Linked DNA regions of Lonchura striata. Each later gene encodes a partner of the first gene's protein in a complex. Links are inferred from orthologs where the notes say so. Each region holds a gene or a part of one and is shown on either strand. Other genes may lie near its edges. The genes, in order: adhesion G-protein coupled receptor G1 and CD81.

Region 1 (9,481 bases):
CCCTGCCCCCCACAGCTCTGCACATGGCCACATCCCTGCAGTTGGACCCAGAAACCAAAATGAAGCACAAAATGAAGCCTTTTGGGGCAAACCTAACCATTTTGGGTAAAAAAAAGACCTTTGTTCCCTCAGCTACGCCAGCTAACGTTGCTGGAGAGCTGTGCTGTGGTCACTGGGGATGTCATGGAGTATGCTGGCTCCATCCTGGCAATGGCATCAAACTGTGGTATCACAGGATTGGACTATCTTTAGTTTGAAGTCCCTGCTCCTTGCAGGAAAATCTGAAAGCAAACCATGTGACTAAGAACATTGTCCAGATGCTCCTTAACTCTGCCAGGCTTGATGCCATGACCTCTTCTGTAGGGAGCCTGTCCCTGTGACCACCTTCTTTGTGAAAAGCCTTTTCTGAATGTCCAAACTAAAATTCCCCTGAAGAAACTTATTCCATCTCTTGAGTCCTTTCACAGAGAGTGGAGATCAGCACCCTGTGCACCCCAGAATCCCTGGCACATCACGTTTCCCAGGCACGCTGGGCACAGCGCTGCCTGCAGACACAGCAAGGATGCCAGGCACAGCTTGCACTGCGGGCATCCCGGGCAGTCTGGGCACAGCCCTGGGGCTAAAAGCCGAATCTCTGGGCGGTGGGAGCTGCTGCTGGGGGGCTGTGTCTCCTGGGGACTGCGCCCTGCCCGTGGTCTCTCTGTTAGCGACCAGCACTGACCACTGCTTCTCTTCGGAAGCGCTTTCGGATTGCCCGTGTGGGTCTCCTCCGCTGCCGGGTGAGCTCTGGCCGGGGTCTGCTGCCGCTCGGACACCCCTCCGTGTGGTTGGGGCAGGTCCCACTAGATGGCACAAGGATCGCAGGAATGGTCCCAGATCGGGGCTATGAACGCGCAGGGACGGCCGGGGGCGATGCGGGACCGCGGCGGTGCCGGTGAGCGGTGCCCGTGTCCCCTGACAAACGGGAGGGGACCTCTGAGCCCCCTTGAGGAGCTGCCGCTGCGCATCTCTCAAGGCACGGACAAAAGCGGGAGATCTCCGGCTACATCCCCCAAATCCGTTTGGTGCCAGCACGGCTGCAGGGTGCCAGGAGTGGCTGTAAGGCTGTGGCATCCCAAAAACACCCGCACCCTGGGTTTTCACTCACGACAGCATCACACTAGAAGCCCTCCCTCTCGCCCCAAATCCAGCGCAGGGATGGAGCCCACCTGCACCCCTGGGGCGGCGGGAAAATGGGTGAGCACGGCTTTGTCTTGGTATCGGGCAGACGAGTTTGGGTGGAGGAGAGGATGGGAAGTGAGTAAGTGAACTGATACTCGGCTTTCCTCCCGCTCTCGCTGAGGAAGGCAGACTCCAAGCAAAACTCCTCAAGGTGACAAACACTTTTGGAGTTGAAGCAATCCAGCCTGAGGAAATAAATAGCCAGGACAAATTGTGGGAACTAAATCCATCAGGTGGGGACAGCGAGTCAGCCCTGAGCCCGTGGTGCATCCGCATAAACCAGACATCACCTGGAAATGTTACCGGGGTTTTTCCTCTCTTGATGCCCGAGGTTTTGGAGCTGGACATCTCACTCTGCCTGCTGGAATGCAGACCAGCATCGCAGCATGGCAAATCCGCCTGTGGTGACATCTGGGTCCAGATGTCCCCACATCTGTCCCCACGCTTGTACCTGCAGGGTGAGCCAGAGAGGTGCCATTAGCCGGTGCTGCCCGTTTCTGGCCCGGTGCAGGGGACCGAGCGCCACCGGACACACTGCCCATCTCTGCCCAGTGACCTTTCCCTTTCTGGCTCCTTCCCGCTTCTGGACAGCGAAGGAAGCCTCTGGCTGTTGTTCTTTGTTCCAGGCACAAAGGGCAGCCAGCGCCGCGCGTTCCCGTCAGGGCTGCCGGCATCCCGGACAAAGGCCCGTCCCGCCGGGGCTCTGTGTCCCCTCCCTGCAGCCCCCGGGCCCCGCGGTGCCCCGGTGTCACCGCGCGGGGATGAGCTGTGCATGGCTCACCGCTCCGGCGGTGATTTCAGCTATTCACTGAGAGGCCTGCGGGTTTGGTGGGATGCCAAGTGCCCGACTTTCCTCCATGAGCCCCGCCGTGGCAGAGTCACATCCCAGCACTTTGCGTGCCCTTTTCTCCCTGTGGGACTCAGATTCAGCCAAAGAGAGAAACGAGAGTTTCTAGCCAGGCAGAAGCAGAAGAGCTGGAGAAGAATGTAAATAATTCTTTATCTCTCTTGTTTTTCACATTGTTTATAGTTAAGTTCTATCACTGTGTGTCAAGCACTTTGCACCAATGCTGTGGGCTGTTTTCACTTCAGAACCAATGGAGTTGGTCCTCATGAAGCTCTGTATGAAAGAGCAGTGTATTTTGAATAAATCTGAGTTTTACTTTCAGCAGCCTTCTGGTCAGTCTTCTCATTCCCGTCCTGCCTCGACAGCGACATCTCCCCATCTGCAGATTTCGGGGTTTGTAGTGTGAGTCATGCTGGCTGCTGGTATCCGGTGGCGCTTGGAAAACAATCATCACTCGGTGGTTGCCTCCTGGCAGCGGGAACACAGCATCCCTGGGTGGTCCCCAGGGAGCTACACCTTTTGGGGACTGATGGGACATACTGGTTCTTGGGTAGCTGAGCCCACTGCTGGTGCCCAGGGGTCACCCTTTTCCCACCCTGCTGCACCAGGAGCAGGGTTGGAGCACTCCCCAGGCCCCCAAGGAGCACGGGTTGGGATTGAGCTTCCTACCCCGCCAGTGCCACGGTGCCAGGGCTGGCTCCATCCAGCACCTGGGCATGGGCGTGAGAGGGCCCAGGCCCTGTAATCTTCTCAAGGAGAAATGCTGCCATTTCTAGGCACCTTGCCTGGCAGGAGGCCAGGGCTGGGCTGCTGGAGGGGTTGTGCCATCTTTTCTCCCCAGGAGAGGAAGGTTGGTGGCACCACAGTGCCTTCAGGCTTCAGAGGCAGCCTTGGCTTCAGGATCAAAGCTGTGGAATTATAGCAAATGCTACAGATTTTGGGAAAACAAGCAGCCAGGAAAGACACTAAATCCACACAGGAAATGGAAGGTTTGGAGAAGACCTTGGCTCCATTTTGGGATCTGCCTTTGGGACTTGTCTGCTGGAGAGCTGATGAGCCTAGTTAGTGCATCCCATGGGAGCATCCTCACCTGGTGCAGACACCCGCAGGGACCAATTTTCCCCCAGACTTCCCTGACATCATCGGGGGTTTATTTGCAAAGCCGAGCCTAAACAAATAATCCGGGTTTGCTGCTGTGCCTACGGGTTCAGGTTTTACTGCCTTGGCACCTGTTGTGTCGCTGTTATCATTGAGGGAGAAATCCCGATGTGGGGAGCGGTGGACCCACCTCCCCACCGGATGTTTTTCCAGGAGGAAGGCTGAGGGAGGTGGGGCAGCAGCAAGGGAGAAGCAGGAGCACCCGCTGCTCCTCAAAGGTAGCTGAGAAACTCCCCTAGCATCACCACCCTCGAGGTTCCCAAGGCTGTCCTGGCATTGCTCACCACATTTGGATGAGAGATCTAGGGACATGCCCTCCCACCAGCCCCCTTCTGCTTCCTCCTCCTCCTCCTCCTCCATCCACCGCGGTTGGCCTGAGCCCTGTTTATGGTGGCATTTTGCTGGCAACACCCAAGAGGCTTTGAGTGGGTCTGGGCACCCTGGCACGGCTGGGCAGTGGGGCTGGCACAGCCCTCGGCTGCAGACGGCACCAGGGCTCCCCTGCCCACGCTTGTCTCCCTCGTTTGGCAGCAGCCCGGTGCGACGTGCCCTCTCCTGCCGGAGTCTGCCCATCCCCTCGATCTGCTGGCACGCTCCCTCCCGCCCGCCGCCGGAGCCTTGAGCAGCTTTCAGCAAGATTTAGGGCTTTTAGAGGATTTGGAAGTCTTCGGGTTCTTTTGGAGCTTTTAGAGCTTTTAATAAAATGAAAGGGTTTTGGGAGCTTCAGGGCTTGCTGGGAACTCTTGGGGATTTTAGGAACTTATAAGAGGTTTAGTAACTCTTAAGGCTTTTAGTAATTTTTAGGGCTTTTAGGAACTTAAAGGATATTCAGGAACTTTTAGGGCTTACGGAGTTTTAGGGCTTTTATGATGTTGTAGGGTTTTTGGGACATTTTAGGGCTTTAGGAGCTTTCAGGATCTTTTAGGACTTTCAGGAACTTTAAGCATATTTATGAGCTTTAATGGATTTAGGAGCTCTTAGGACTCTTAAAAAGTTGTAGGGCTTTCATAGGAATTCCCCAGTTCAAGCAATAAACACTTATCAGGCTGAGCCCAAGGGCAAATGTCCCTTCCAAGAGACAACACAAGGATTTCCTCCCTCTTCGCGCTCAGGCAGTGTCTTTGAAGGTCTGTCGATTTACAGATAATCCCGACAACACCAGCAACTGCAGGCGTTGACCTAAAAATAACTCCTGATAGCATGGAATGCAGACAAAAGACTCTTTGTTCCACGAACAGCAGCAAAAAGTCCTTTCCTCACTGGTCCGAGGGGTCTGCACCTAATTCCCCTCCCCAGGAGAGCCTAATCCTGGTTTTAGCCGAGTTATTCCCAGGAGGTGGATTTATGGCGTTTCCCCAGAGAGCCGGTCGGGATGACCCGCAGTGCGAGGCTTGGCTCACCGCGATGCTCCCGCGGCTCTGGCTGCTGGAGCGTGCGTTTCTGAGCTCGCCCAGCTCCCCGAGGCGTGGGGACGGCCGGACTTCAAAGGCAGCTCTGTTAGCCACGGTCCGGCCTTTTAGGCACGGTCCGGCCGCGTGAGCTGCTTCCCACGGGAGCCTCGTCCCGTGGCAGCCAGGGAAACTGGGCTTGGAGCTGGAAATTAAACCGAGCACTGTGGAAATTAAACCGAGCACTGGGGTGACGCAAACGTGCGGGATGTCCTCTGCTCCAGGGATCCCAAAGCAGCCATGGCACCTGCGGTGGCACAATTCTTGTGGATCAAGGTCCATCACCTTTCTGGCTGGGGCGGAAAGTTGTTTCCACCCTTCCCCCCCCTGCAGAAAGAAAAGTCTCATTCAAGCTATTGAAAATATCTGCAAGAACAACTATTTACTCAGGGCACTTCCCGGAGCTCTCCCCCCGGCCCTGCCCGCGTCTCGGCTTTCTCCAGCGCGGCTGTTTCCCGGGGCACACACAAAGGGCTGGGCTCAGGCGCTGCTGGCAGCGGCGATACCCGCTCCGCCAGCCCTGCCTCGACAATCGCAGCTCCCACCGGGGGCCAGCGTGCCCATCTCCAGCCTTGGGGTGGGTGGTGGGGCCGCTATGGTCACATCCAGGCTCTACACCCCACATCCCAGCCCACCTGCTCCAGGGGAGTGCCGTGTATCCCTCTCCTGGATCTGGGCTCCTTGCCCTGCTCCTTTCCTCCCTCACACCGTGCGGGGAGTGGGACAGGGGTCACCGGGACACTCCGTCCCGGCTGCTTTCCCATTAATTGTTATTTTTTAATCCCGTTGGCAGTCAGGCGTGCAGCCTGCTGGCTCCGGCTCCTCCGGCCCGGCCCGCCGCTGGACGCCCGCCAGCCCGCAGGGAAGGACGGCGGGACGCGGCACGCCCGGCTGTCCCCAGCCGAGTCCCGCAGCCCCCCGTGGTGCCCCCGGTGCTGCCGGCCCGGGGCTCGCCGGGCAGGTGCCGTGCCGTGGGACGGGGTGGGGCCGCTGGTCCCGGGATACCGCTCTGAGCCGAGCCGGGCTGCGAGGCGCCGAGCCGTGACGTGCCGTGCCGAGCCGAACCGAGCCGGGCCGAGCAGAACCGGGCAGGTGCCGTGAGCGGCGGCGCTGACCCCGCGGCTCCCGCAGAGATCGCGGGGGTCTCGGAGGGGTCGGTGCGGGGGGCTCGGTCCCGGTACCGCCCCGCTGAGTCACCGCCCGCCGGCGGGGCGGGGCGGGGCGCTGCTCCGGGCACCGCGCTGAGCGAGCGGGCTGCGAGGTGTGGTGCTGAGACGAGCCGTGCCGAGCCGTGCCGAGCCGTGCCGAGCCGTGCCAGCCCAGCCGAGCCGTGCCGAGCCGTGCCAGCCCTGCCGAGCGGAGCCAGGCGGAGCCGGGCGGTGCCGAGCCGAGCCCGCTCCGACTCCAGGTACGGGAACAACGGGGAGCGGGTGAGCCGGGACGAGGGAGGATCGGGGAGCCCGGTGTCCGCCGTGGGGCGTCGGTCCGGCACCGGGAGCCGAGGGGATGCTGCGGCACTCCGGGCGGGACAGGAGTGACAGGGTGGGCGTCAGGCGGGGCACCGGGCAGCGCCCCGGCTCGCTCGGGCAGGGAGCAGCCTGGAGGGATGGAGGGATGGAGCGGGGGGTCTCTATGGGGGGCTTGAGCAGCACCCCGGTCCCGGTGCGGGGGCTCCGCGGTGGGTGTGATGTGTCCGGCTGGGCACGGCCCTGGGATTCCGTTCGTGGCCATGGTGCCGGTTATCTGTGAAACCAGCCTTCATGCCTGCTCCATGGGACTCGCACTCGCCTGCCCCGGAGCCAGGCTGGATTCCTGGGCCGTGGAGCCACAAAGCCTCCCGAGCTGTCCCGGACCGGCTGCTCCGGGCTGCTGCCAGCAGCAGAGATGAGCTCCACGAAGCCCCGGCCGTCGGCCGGTGTGTGGCCATTGCTTGGCACTTTGTGGGAACCACCAGCACACCCCGTTCCTTCCTCTCCTCCTCGGCGGAGGGTGCAGCATCCCATGGGATCGCTGGCATGCCTCGACAGGGTGATCTCCCTTCCCTAAAATGCCTTTTGGGGGATTCCTCCTGCAACATCCCAGTTTGCTGCTGCCGGTCCTGGCATGTCGGTGCAGGATATGGGATGCAGGATGCTTGGGGTGCTCTCTACCCACTGTCTGTGCTGCCCCTCCAGAGAGACCAGTAAAACTCAGTGAGACCAGCAGGAGAATTGAAATGAAGTCTCCTGGAATAACCTCCTGGCAGCAAATCCGAATGGCTGTTGTGGAGGGAAGGCAGCCAAAGCTCATTTCATGGTCTGAGGGCTGCAGAAACCCTCCCACCCCCCCCCTCCCCCCAAGCTCCACCACCAGTGGGGAGCCAGGAGTGTTTCAGAGATGGGGGGGGGGGGGGGGGCAAAACCCAAATCCTTTGAGCCTGGAACTGCAGCCACAGTGGGGTTTGCCGTGTCCCTTGCTGGGTTCACAGCTCCCATGTGAATTAAGCCAAGGACTGAAAATGCTGCATACTTGGTTGCAGTCCAGCTCTTAATCCTGCGGCCTGGGGGCTGCTATTTGCAGAGTAACAGGTTTGCAAGCAACTGTGTGCTGCCTGAACGGGGGATCCCGGAGATAGGCCATGCCTGCACCTTGCAGTGGCACCCGAGGGTGCAGGGTCAGGGCTGTGTGGTTTACAGACTGCAGGCTGGGTGTCTCCCAGCGTGCCAATGTCTGCACGGGACCAGCTGGGCACAGCCTGCTGGCGCCTGTTTTTCAGGAGCTCTTGGACTCACCAACTCCTTTCCCATCAGCTCACCCGACAGCTGGGGTTTGGCAGGAATCTGGGAGGCCCACAGTCTGTTACCTGGCTCCTTGGGTGCTGCAGACTTTGCCCTCACTAGGCTCCAGCACCTTGTTTTCTGTGCCAAATACCTGGGAACCTGATTTGGGGTGGTCCTGAGCTACTTTGCACTGCTCTGCACCCCCCTTCCCTGGCACCTGCAGAACAGGCAGGTGATGAGGACCTTGCTCATGTCAATGGGGATAAGATCTGGGAGTGGACCGGGTGTTTTGGGAGCCACTTGAAAGCCAAAGGAGTGGTTTGGAAGGGGGATGTGCAGGAGGAGAAATAGGGTTGCTCTCAAAGAAGACTGCATGGTGGGAGTGTGTGGCAGGGACAACTGGCTGTATCCCTGTGGCCAGAGATGTCCTTGCACTGCATTGTCGCTGTGTCACGTCAGCCTCAGTCCAGTGTAGGTGCACCTGGTCCTTTGCAGAGTGAGTGTGGCTGCTGCTGAAGCCACAAGGCTTCGCATGCTGCCGAACCAGGTGTTGTGTTGCCCTGGCGCTGGAGGAAGTGCTGGGTTAGTTCACTGTAATACTTCTGTTTGTGGTGTTTTTTAGGAAATGGAAATTTAAAAAAAAGATTTGAATGTCAAGACCCAGCTCTAAGAAAAAGCTCTGTCTCAGGAGCCCCAGGCACTGGCAGGCGCCTGTGCCAGCCTCCCCTTGGTTCTCCCCAGGCCTTTGTGGGAAGGGACGGCTGCCAGTGGCTGGCAAAGAACAGACCTGGCAGGGATCTTTCCCGTGAGAATCACCATCAGATCTGGTTTCATCCTGTTGGCAAGACCCATCTTGAAGGTGCTGGGAGTTCTGTGCAGTGCCACGGCCTGGGAAAAGCTGCGGCACCCCATGGTACAGCTTGGCACTGCCAGGCTGCTGGCACAGTGCAGCTGCCCCTCGACTCCTTGGGCCTGAGCCAACGCGCCCGGTCAGCCCCGGCCGCCCCCCGGTGCCGGGAATCACATGCCAATGCCATGAATAACGCGTGGCTGGCCCTGCGGGCACGCACCACTGCCCAAGGACAAGGGCACTTTGTGAAGCTCTCAGATACTGACACTGGGGCATCCCTTTGCAGGGGCACCCCCATCCTTGGACAGTTCCAGACCCAGGGAACCTTGTTTTTGGTCCCTACGATGAGGGATTGGTTGTGCAAAGCTGTTTTGCATCTCCAGGAGCCCGTTCTGGCTTGCCTCTCTGTGCCAGCTTCCTCATTATGCTGCTGAGTCCCTGCCTGAGTAACCAACTGCGGTGATGAACTTGACTCATTCACATCTCGAGGAACAGAGCGTCACTTTCCTAACGGACCTGGAAGGAAAACAGATAAAAGCTCCTGGATCTCCCTGCTTCCGGTGTTTGTTTGAGTCATCAGAGCATCTTCCCTTCTCCTTGGGAAAAATGTCATATCCAAAAGCCACGTGCCACCTCTAAAAACTTAAATGTGTGCTGCCAAGTCACCCAGAAAGCAGTAAGGTGGAAGTAAACACCAGGCTTTTTGTTTGTGGGGTTTTTAGTCTTTTTTCCCCCCATTCACCTAAGGTTTAGAGGCCTCAATATAATGCTTTGGCTTTTCTTTCCAAGACCAGTATCTTAATGGTGATGGGAAGATAAGAATTAGTGCCCAGGAATAAGCCTCTCTGCTGATAAGGGAGCCTGCTCCAAGCTGTGCAGCCCTGGAAGAGTCTCTGCCACCTCTTTGTACATAATCTGGTTGATTTTGAGGCCAAGCCAGGAATTTTTCCCTGCTGCCATGTGGGTATGGGGAGATGACGAGGCAGGATTCAGCCCTGACGAGAACTCAGCCCATCCGGCTACCTTTGCTGTGCTCATTGCCAGCGTGGATGGAAGCTGTGTTTTCTCACTGTGAAACCATTTTCAGGGGATTTTCTCTTGCTATTGTTTAGCTCAGGAAATGGCAATCAGAGTTGGGGTGAGCGGGACTGTACAGGGCTCGGAGGGGAAATACCGGCTCCCCCACCCTCTTTCCCAC
Region 2 (9,526 bases), on another chromosome or scaffold:
TGCAAGGAAGTGGCACATCTTGGGAGAAATATGTTCAGACAAGCCTGGAGGTTCTCACCAACAGCTAAAGCCCTGCTGTCTGCTAGTTGCTATTCCCTTAGACTCCAGCAAGCAAAGAAGAAATTTCCTTCCCAGTATTTCTTGACAGGAAAATGCATATCCCTGTGTTGCTCACCCTGAAGTCACTGGCAATCAGTTAGCTGGGTTGTTTATATTATCCCAAGACAGAATCCCCGTCTCCCCTCAGCATCACTATGTGCTATTGTTTAACCCCTGTGTGCAGCAGCTTGCTCACGGACGTGCTTGGTTTCTTTTTAGCCCTATTACATCAGCAATAAACTATTCCAGTCTTTATTCACCTACTAATGAATTATACATTAATTATACAATAAGAGCTCTCTGCTGTGATGGGCTGGGCTCTGGCACCTCCCAAAGCACAGCTCAGCCCAGCTGTGACTCAGTCTTCTCTGATGCCCTGAGAAAAATGAATGTTCACTTTCTGGGCTCATGAGCTAAGAAGAGAGAGCGTCTGCTTGGATAGGAAGCCTGCTTGGGTATTCACTCCCTCAGCTGGAGCTCCAGCATGAGCTGATGCTGTCCTCCCCCCCCCCCCCTTATATAACCTGACCTATCACCATAGATACATTGATATAAATATTTAAAGATGGCAGAGAGACAGGCCAGGCAGATGGGAACCATTTGTTCAGTTTATTAGAAACAGAAAGTTCAGGCTCAGCTACAGGTCTCTGCTTGCTGCATCCCTCTCCCCTGAGGCTGCAAGGCAAGTGCAACCCCCTGCGCTGTCACAGTGCTTTGACTCAGCTTGTAGGGATGGGCATGGGAATTTTGGATAAGCAGGCACCATCCTCTCCTGCTGGAGCACAGAAAAGGTATTCTGAAAATGTCCCCTTAGACTTGGGGATTAGATCCCTCATACAGTGTTTTTTCTACTTAAAATGAAGGTGTTGGCTGGTTCCCCAGGGGTGTAGACAGGTCTCTCCTGAGGTGATTAAGCTCCATAGGCCAGTACATACACTTCAGTTTGCCTTTGCTGAAGTCTCTTCCTTGAAAAACAACACTGTGGGGTGTTGGCTGCCAAGGAAGTTACCCCTGAGTGCTCTGGGACTATTAACCTCCCACAGAACAAATTTCTGAGTTTCTTATCATGCATCTCCAAAATGTCCTATTTAAAGATCTTTGGTAATGCTGCTGTTGTTTGGTGGTTTTGTTTTTTTTACCACCAGAGGTAAATTGAAAATTCAGGCTATTTCTGTAGTACTTTGCAATAAAAATAAGAAATGGTGGTTAAAAGCTAACTAGGACCTCACCAGCAAAATGACATTTTTCCCCCCATGGTTTATCTGTCAGTTTTGAGCTGGCTGAGGAGGGCAGGGGGGTTGTCATGCAAGCCCAAAGCATGCAGCCAGAGTACCCCAGTGGATAAGGGATTCCCATCTGCTCTCCCAGATGTCCTGGAGACCGGTCAGTAGGTGTTTAGAGCCTGCCTCAGCTCTTCAGGCCCGTGTGAGAGCAGGAGACGATGTGTGTTATCCTCTCCCCCATCCCCCCTTCACTTTTTATAAAACAAAAAGGGTTTTAAGGGGAAGCTGCTGGAAGGCAGGTGGGCATCTCTGAGGGGTAATCAGGCTCAAAGCCCCAGGGGCTGGGTTTGCCGAGTCCCGCTGGTAAGGGATGTTCTCCTAAACTCGGACTGGGAGGCAGCATCTGCTCTAACGGACCCTGGTGAGTCATACCCAGGGGTGCCAAAACCCCCAGGAATGACACTGGCTTTTATAAACAGGTTCACAAAAAACCCCAACAACCCAAGCCAAACAGACAGAAAAAAACACTGCAAGTGCCTCCTCTCTCAGCTGCTTCATTCTGCCTGCAGACCTAATTGCAGACACACATTCAAACAGACGCTTGGTTTATTTTTTTAATTCGGGGTTTGGGGGATTTTTTAAAAAATATTTTTAGAGGGTTGTTTTTTTTTTTTCTTTCAGGGATGAAAGGTTTGGGGGAGGTAGGTAGCTTTCTCACAGCCCTGCCTGCAGCTGGCTGCTCTGTGACTTCAACCTCTGAGCACTTGAACTAGCTTTTCCTCCTGAAGAGGGAAGTCATCAGCCCTATTCATAGCACTCACACTCAATACTGGCATGTGACACCCAGACACAAACTGAATTTTTGCAAATTAGCTTTACTTATTTATAAAGAGCTGGTAAAGCCACTGAGAGCCTTGGAAAGGTAGTTGTGATACTTTATAGGCTGTACAGCAAGTAATGCAGTGTGAGAAATGAGTATGAAACATGAGAAATGAGTGTACAACACCTGAAATCACACACAGTCCTGGGAAATGGTGTCTGTTATCTTGTCACTACGCTATGGTGATTGCATTTTTCTTCCTGTACCTAAAGGCCAAAGTTTTCAAATGTACCCAGCTGAGCTGCTTAAAATAACAACAACAGAAAAGACAAACCTTGAAATACTTTTCCACTTCCAACTTTTGTTGGCATGGCAAGTTTAAACTCAGTAGGCTTTAGGCTGTAACTGGGAGCTTCTTGTTGAAGGAGATGGTGGGACTGTGGCCCTGCTGCCCCTGCCAGGGCCACAGCTGTCCCTGAGCTACATGTGCTCCTTAAGGAAGGTCCCAGAAACAGAACTCTGTTGGCTCCAAAACAAATTGTTGCCTAATACAGTTTCAGGAGGATACAAAAAAAATTAATTCTTATTTTCCATTTTCCTTCATTCCCCAACACAGGAGGAAAACAGGGCAGAAAGTAAGAAAAGAAAAGCCACAGTGAGCAGGATAAAAACAACACCAAAAAAAAAAGCAATCTTAAGCTCCCTGGAAGCAGTCTCAATGCCAACATTGTGGCAGTGATTGCACTGCTCTCCAGTGCACAACAGATGATTTGAGAGATTTGATAGACATTTTCCCTCATAGGTGGTGGGGCTGCTGCTGCTGAAGGCCTTACTGCTACTGGTTCCTTCCTCTCCCACTCCCAGACTCTCCAAGCAGCATCTCTGAGAGTTTTTTTAGGAGCAGCTGCCTAAGTGCATGAGAGGCTTCTTGGTTCATATAGACTCCTGGTATTGACCTCTAGGGTTCTTTTCCCTTTCCTTTCCTTTCCTTTCCTTTCCTTTCCTTTCCTTTCCTTTCCTTTCCTTTCCTTTCCTTTCCTTTCCTTTCCTTTCCTTTCCTTTCCTCTTTCTCTTTCTCTTTCTCTTTCTCTTTCTCTTTCTCTTTCTCTTTCTCTTTCTCTTTCTCTTTCTCTTTCTCTTTCTCTTTCTCTTTCTCTTTCTCTTTCTCTTTCTCTTTCTCTTTCTCTTTCTTCTCTTTTCTGTTTTTTTGTTTGGGGGGGGGGGGGGGTTGTTTTGCTATTTGTAGCTGTAAAGGATGGAGGTGCAGAAAAGAAGATATTGTGGGACACTGTGATGGAGCAAGTGAGCAGCTTTGGGATCCTGCCATTATCATTTGGACTGATGAGCAGGAGCCACACAGGATTACAGCTATGGCTGTAACCAGATGGGTCATGCTGATAATTCGGGACAGCAGTTACATGCATAAATAGCCTGGTGAGCCCCCGGCTTTGTTGGTAAGTCTGGATGAGTGAATGTGGCTTAGAGACAAAGGGGTTATGAATCCATGGCAAGCCCACAATCAGGGACATACTCAGCATAAGTAATTAGGGAATGGAGCCAACTTCTATTCATTCCTGGTCCCTGCTGCCATGTAGTGCATGGGCTGTTACTGAGGGACACAGAAAGTTTTGATGAACATGACAAAGCCCTGGACCAAGTCACCCCTGAGGGCAATGGGATGATTTTGGAAGAAGCTGACTCGATTTCAACATGCATGTGTAGGAAATGTGTGATGGCTAACAGCTCATTCCTGACTATGGGATGCATGGCTGGGAAGACTCCATCAGAGTGTACAAATGCTCAGAAGCTGTTCCCTGAAATCCTTCACTGGCGGGAAGTGCCCAGGCAGGAGGAGGGCAGGTTTCCCCATCTGACTCTGCAGGCGGGTGCCAGGTTCATATTTAGCTCAGTGAGGGGCTGACCTTGGCTGGAGCTGCTCACTGATGCTTTTTCCAGACATCCTCCTATGCTCTGGTTGTGTGACTTACCACCCTGCCTCTGGAGAAGTGAATGAGCTTCCTGGAAGCATAACACGGGGTGAGAACAATTTATATTTCTAAGGATGGGCCAAAGTGGGCCTCAGCTGAAAGCACGGGAAATTCCATCATTCTTCTACTGTGTAGCTTTGAGAGGGGAAGAGGTTAACTAAAATTCCCAAGCCTGTTGATATGTGTGACCCTTTTTTTTTTTTTTTTTTTTTACTTTTCTTTGGGAAAAAGAGGAATAAAAGGAAATGGGAAAAGTAAGAAATTAAAAGGAAAAAAGAAATTTAAAAAAAAAGAGGGAACTCTCTTTGGTGGGCAGCTCTGAGCACCCCCTGATGCTCTTGTTACCCAGTAACCAAAGGAAAACATCCCAAGTGGTTCTACTGAACTTGATGCAATTGCTTGCAGTACCAAAGCCAGAAGCTTAGACAAAAACTGTTCATCAGAGCAGATTTAGAGCTAAAATAAGAAGGGGAAAGAAGGAAACGCTTCTCTGAATTTCAAACTGATAGTTTTAATACAAAAGATCTTTGCTCTATTTTTTTGGAGGGGGAGGCGGGGATCCTCTCATGAATGCACCCTCAAACTTTTCTGTATAGAAATGCAAAACCTCCTGCAACCTATTCCCAGAGGTTTCTCCCTGCACCCCAGGCTGCCTGGTGATGTTTAGGAGGTGACAGTGAGTTTTAAGGGATGGAGGTCAGGTTTGGGAGGTAACATTCCTACAGCCCCCCAACACTTGCCCCCGTGGCTCCTACTTGTGCGTAGGAAACTTTGTTGTGAGCTGCCCCTGGAGGGTGAGAAGATGGGGAAAACAAAGAAATAAATAAGAGCAGATATAAAAAAAGGGGGAAAAAGAAAAAGAGGGGGCAAGAGATGAAAAAAAGGACTGAAGATGAAAGAAATAAGGGAAAAAAGAAGAAGGGAAGGGAAGGGAAGGGAAGGGAAGGGAAGGGAAGGGAAGGGAAGGGAAGGGAAGGGAAGGGAAGGGAAGGGAAGGGAAGGGAAGGGAAGGGAAGACTAAAAATTAAATAAGGGGGGAAAGGAGGGGAGGGAAAATTCAAAAGAGGAAGAAAAAAGAAAAATAAAAAAGGCAGATAATAGAAAAATAGGGGAAAGCAAAATGGAAGAGTTAGGAAAAAAACTGGGAAAAGTGGAGGAGGAAAAGGGAGAAAAGGAAAGGAAAGAAATGATGTAAGAAAGGAGGAAACACCAGGCGACCCCCAGTTTCGGGAAGGCGAGGGGGTGCCGGTGCCAGCCCCGTTCCTGGGGCGTGTCCCAGCGGCGATTCCGGGGCGGGGCGCGGGCGGGGCGGGATTTCTGCGCCCGCCGCCGCCTCGCTCAGCCAGGCAGCGCAGACTTGGGAGAGCCGTCGCCATGGGAGTGGAAGGTTGCACCAAGTGTATCAAATACCTCCTTTTCGTCTTCAACTTCATCTTCTGGGTGAGCACAGGGGTGGCGGGAAGCGGGGGATGAGCCCTCCCAGCCTTTAAATAAGGGGGCTGCAATACTGCTCGTCTGCCTGCGCCTGGCTTTAGCCTCCTTCTTGTCCCCCAGCATTGAGACTTGCTGTCTAGGATGTGCCTTAGGGGCTGCTTTTTTTTCCTTTTTTAAATTTTTTTTGGAGGGTGAAGGGGCTGATCATCCTTCCTTTTAATGCATGCATATGTAACTGTACATGCATATCTATTTATGTCTGTTTTTAAATAGATATGCAGAGGGGGAGGTAGAATCGTAGGATGGTTTGAGCTTGCAGAAGACCTTTAAGATGCTCGCGTCCAGCCGCTACAGATGTTTATGGGCGCCTTTGGGGGCGGGGGGCAGAGCCGGGGGGCGCTCCCGCAGCCCCTCTTGCTGCGGGGAAAGCGGCGCTGCCCAGCCGGGGAAGGGAAGGAGGGAGGGAGGATGCAGGGATGCTGCCAGGCGGAGGGAGGGGAGGGAGGGAGGCGCCGGCCGAGCCGCCCGCCGCAGCGGAGGGGGCGCTCAGCAGATGCGGGGGATTCGGGGCCGGGACCCGGCCGCGCCGGCACCGCTGCCCCCGCCGCCCGGGAAGTTATTTTAGGATGCAAATTCTGTCCAGGCTGAAGAGGCTGCCTTTCCTGAGAAAGTTTTGCTTGAAATAATCCATGCAGACGTGCGGCTAATTTAGCAAAAGGCGGCGTATCCCGGTTTCCCTGCGAGCCAGGTTTGCCCCGGTTAGAACAGCCTCCGGCAGCGCGAGGTTGGCTGGCAGGAGTGTCCTGCTCCTGCGCCCGGGGGCAGCCAGATATGCCCGAACAGGCTGCTGGCTTCGTGTTTTAAACACTCTGCTTTCCATCCCACGGAATGCTTTTTTGTCTTGGAAGTGAGTTCAGCCCCACCCTGGCAGGCAAGGCACCGCTTGGATGCCCCTTGTCCAGTGCCCCTTGTCTGACATCCCGCTCTCTTGTGGAGGATTTGGGATTATTTTTTTTTCTTCCTCAGTGCTTGCTTACAGCTGGGAATGTAGCAAGGGGGGTTGGAGAAGTGCAAAAGGGACCGATGGCTTCTAGAGCAAACCCTGCTTTGGCACCTGGAGTTGGCACCTGGCTGCTGACTCCTCCCTGGGGATGCCTGGGGAAACTCTTTGCGGGGTCCCCATCCTTGGGAGGTGTAGGGCTTAACCAAGGTTCACTTCAGGCCTGTTCGTCCTGTGTCTGGGTATAACACTGGCCAAGGGGGAGAAGACAAGCTCTGATATCAACTGTGTTAATTGATACCTGATGTGTTGCCAGCTGCATGAATGAGGGATAATTCCGGGTTGTTCTTTTTTAACCTTTTCCTCCACCCTTAAAATGGCCGGATGGAGGCGGGTATGGTTGTCTGTGAAGTGTTGTTCCTTCCGAGTTACCGTGCTTATCCCAGTTTTTTTCCTTGCCTTCTGGTCCTGATTTCCTGCCATTCTTGTCAAAGAAACAGCCGGCTATGCTTGTGAGGAAGGGTCTCCTGGGTGGCAGGAAGGATGCTGGGGGCTTTGCACAGCCACCGCTTCTCAGCAGGATCAGTTGTTCACTTCAAAGTCCTGTAAAAGAGTTGATCTTTTATAAATGGGCATTTTGCTTCCAAGAGGAATTGCCAAATTGCCAATCTGTATAATTTCCCTGTTATGACATCTGGTGCCTTGCCCTACCCTTTTGGCGGGTGCTCCCTGTGAGTGGGGGTAGATGCTTCAGTTCCTTCCCAAGAGGGGTACCTGTAAGCTGGGACCCACTGGCTCCCCAAAACAGCTCCCAGTGCTGGACTTGCTGGTCCGCTTGCACTGTCTCCTGTGCAGACTGGGAGCCTGGATTTGATTAGAATTAACAGTGCTTTCTGTGAGGCTAGCCAGCTGAATGGTGGTTGAATACCAGATCATGGGGTTCTCAAGCCCTTTTGTGTTGTTTTTTGAACTAGTAGTGAGGGTTTACCACAAAGGTAGGTTAGCTGCCATCCTGGAACCCCCAACTAGGGAGGGATTCTGTGCTTAACAGCAAAGTACGACGGTCCTTTTTGCAGGGTGACATTTAAGGACTGAATGTAGTGACCACCCTCATTGCAGGTTGGCTGTGTTGGGAAACCACCTCTAACCACAGGGAGGTGTGAGACAGGGCACCTGCAGCCCTTTAGTCCGCCAGCTGGTTATTATGTAAGGGCTGATGGACTCGCCGTGCTTATTTGCTTATGATTTGCCTTGTGTGCAGCTGCTGCTGGGTGCTGTTGATGAAAACAAGCCAGAGGTAGAGCCCAAAGTTTGGCAGGCACCATGCTGAGCTGCACAGGAGCTTGTTCTAGTGCCCAAGAGGAAGAAGGAAGCAATTCTCAGCCTTAGTTACTCTGATAAGTTTTTTATGTAGCCCCGCTATCCTGCTGGAGTGTAAATAAACTGACTCCCCTCTGGCTTCCTCCCCCTGCCTTCCCCTGACAGCACAGGGGAAATTTCACAAAGCTTCTGTGTTGAAAAAGCAAAAGGAAAAGGTGACCCTGCTGCCAGCTCCTCGTTCATTGTACCTGAGATGTTTCTGTTTTATTTGATTTTTTTTTTTGGGGGGGGGGGGGATTGCTTGTCCTTTGTGCATGCATTCTTGAGAAGAAGATGCCAAGATTGTGCTTGCTCCAAGGGTGGCTCTCAAGGGAGCAGTGGTTGCTGCATGGACCACGTGTACAAATGAGTGCTTGTCCCAGGAGAGAGGGTCCCCAGGTGTTTCACAGTGGCACCCACCTACTGAAGTGGTGGAGGAGGCCATGGTCAGCACCTGTGGGCTTCACCTGGTTAGCAAAACATAGGGCTGAAAAGACAAAAGTTCTTCTATGCTGCCAAGTTGTTCTGAAACTGGAGTGGCTGGTGTTGAGTGGACACCCTGCCCTGTGAGAGGGAGCAGTAGCTGTTACTGGGCAGTTTGGCTGGTGTGATGGGCAGCCCAGGCAGGGCTGGCCATCTGGCAGGTGGAGCTGCTTCTCCATCCCATCCCTACAACTGGGATGGCTCCACTTAGGACTGCTCTCCTGAATTTTCCAAACCTTATAGCAGACCTCAGTGTGTGGGGCTGAACTGACCACTGCTGCAAAGGGTCCCTGGGGAGGCTGAAGGAAGCCAGTGAACTATTTTAAAATATAATTAAACATAACCAAGGAGGAATTGACTTGCTTGGAGAAAGATTGCTCAAGCTTATTAGCTAATACAGCCCATGGCAGTGTTCCAGGTCAAGAGCACTGCTGGCTGCCCTAGCAGAGAGGTGTCTAATTAAAAGGAAGAGCTTGCTCCTAATGCCATTTTCCAGGCACTGCCTAACTCTTCTGTGTGTTGAGGGTGTTGTACAGCCTGGGTGCAAAGGGAAGGAAGGGCAAGAACAGAGGGAAGATGGAAGTGAGAGTCTGTCTGGACAGGGGTGATTGAAAGGGAAGAGGCAGAGGAGCTGCGTGTTTTCTTGTGCAACCCCAGAAGATCTGTTAGCTGTAGCCTGGAGTCTGCAAAGCCTGCACAGAGATACTTGGTGTTAGTGATGGGAGGTGGCAGCTCTCTGTGGTGGTTGTCCCACGGTAACGCTTTCACTGGGTGGCACCTGACCCTCTCATTGTGGTGAGGAGGGTGGCTGTGTACCACTGCTCACAGCTTTAAATGAAGAGTGGAAGATCTCATGGTTCCTGTAGCTTTGAAACACAGGTTTGAAATAACTGTGGACTAACAAAGCATCTTGTAGTGGGTGCAGGCGTGGGCCAAGCACTGCTCCCGTGCCACTGGTGGCAGTGCCTGGCTGGTTGGGCTGCTGGTTTCCCTGGGAATTGCAGAGAGCCTGGCGAGCAGCAAGGACCTCATGCTGGCCCAGCATCTTCTTCCACAGATTTTATTTGGCATCCTGGGACAATGTACAGGCAAGCATGTTTCTGTGTGTTTGACTCTGCAT

The links.
Region 2: adhesion G-protein coupled receptor G1 (region 1) and CD81 share a complex: the UniProt entries of both Homo sapiens proteins name them as parts of the GPCR-tetraspanin complex. The link is inferred for Lonchura striata from reciprocal best matches to the Homo sapiens genes ADGRG1 and CD81.

The regions. Positions count from the first base shown.
Region 1 is NC_134615.1:17,338,371-17,347,851, forward strand, and holds the start of adhesion G-protein coupled receptor G1, read left to right. Parts: upstream 1-5,957; 5' UTR 5,958-6,082; intron 6,083-9,481. UniProt on the Homo sapiens protein: Adhesion G-protein coupled receptor (aGPCR) for steroid hormone 17alpha-hydroxypregnenolone (17-OH), which is involved in cell adhesion and cell-cell interactions.
Region 2 is NC_134608.1:47,037,158-47,046,683, forward strand, and holds the start of CD81 (CD81 antigen), read left to right. Parts: upstream 1-5,430; 5' UTR 5,431-5,504; coding exon 5,505-5,570; intron 5,571-9,526. UniProt on the Homo sapiens protein: Structural component of specialized membrane microdomains known as tetraspanin-enriched microdomains (TERMs), which act as platforms for receptor clustering and signaling.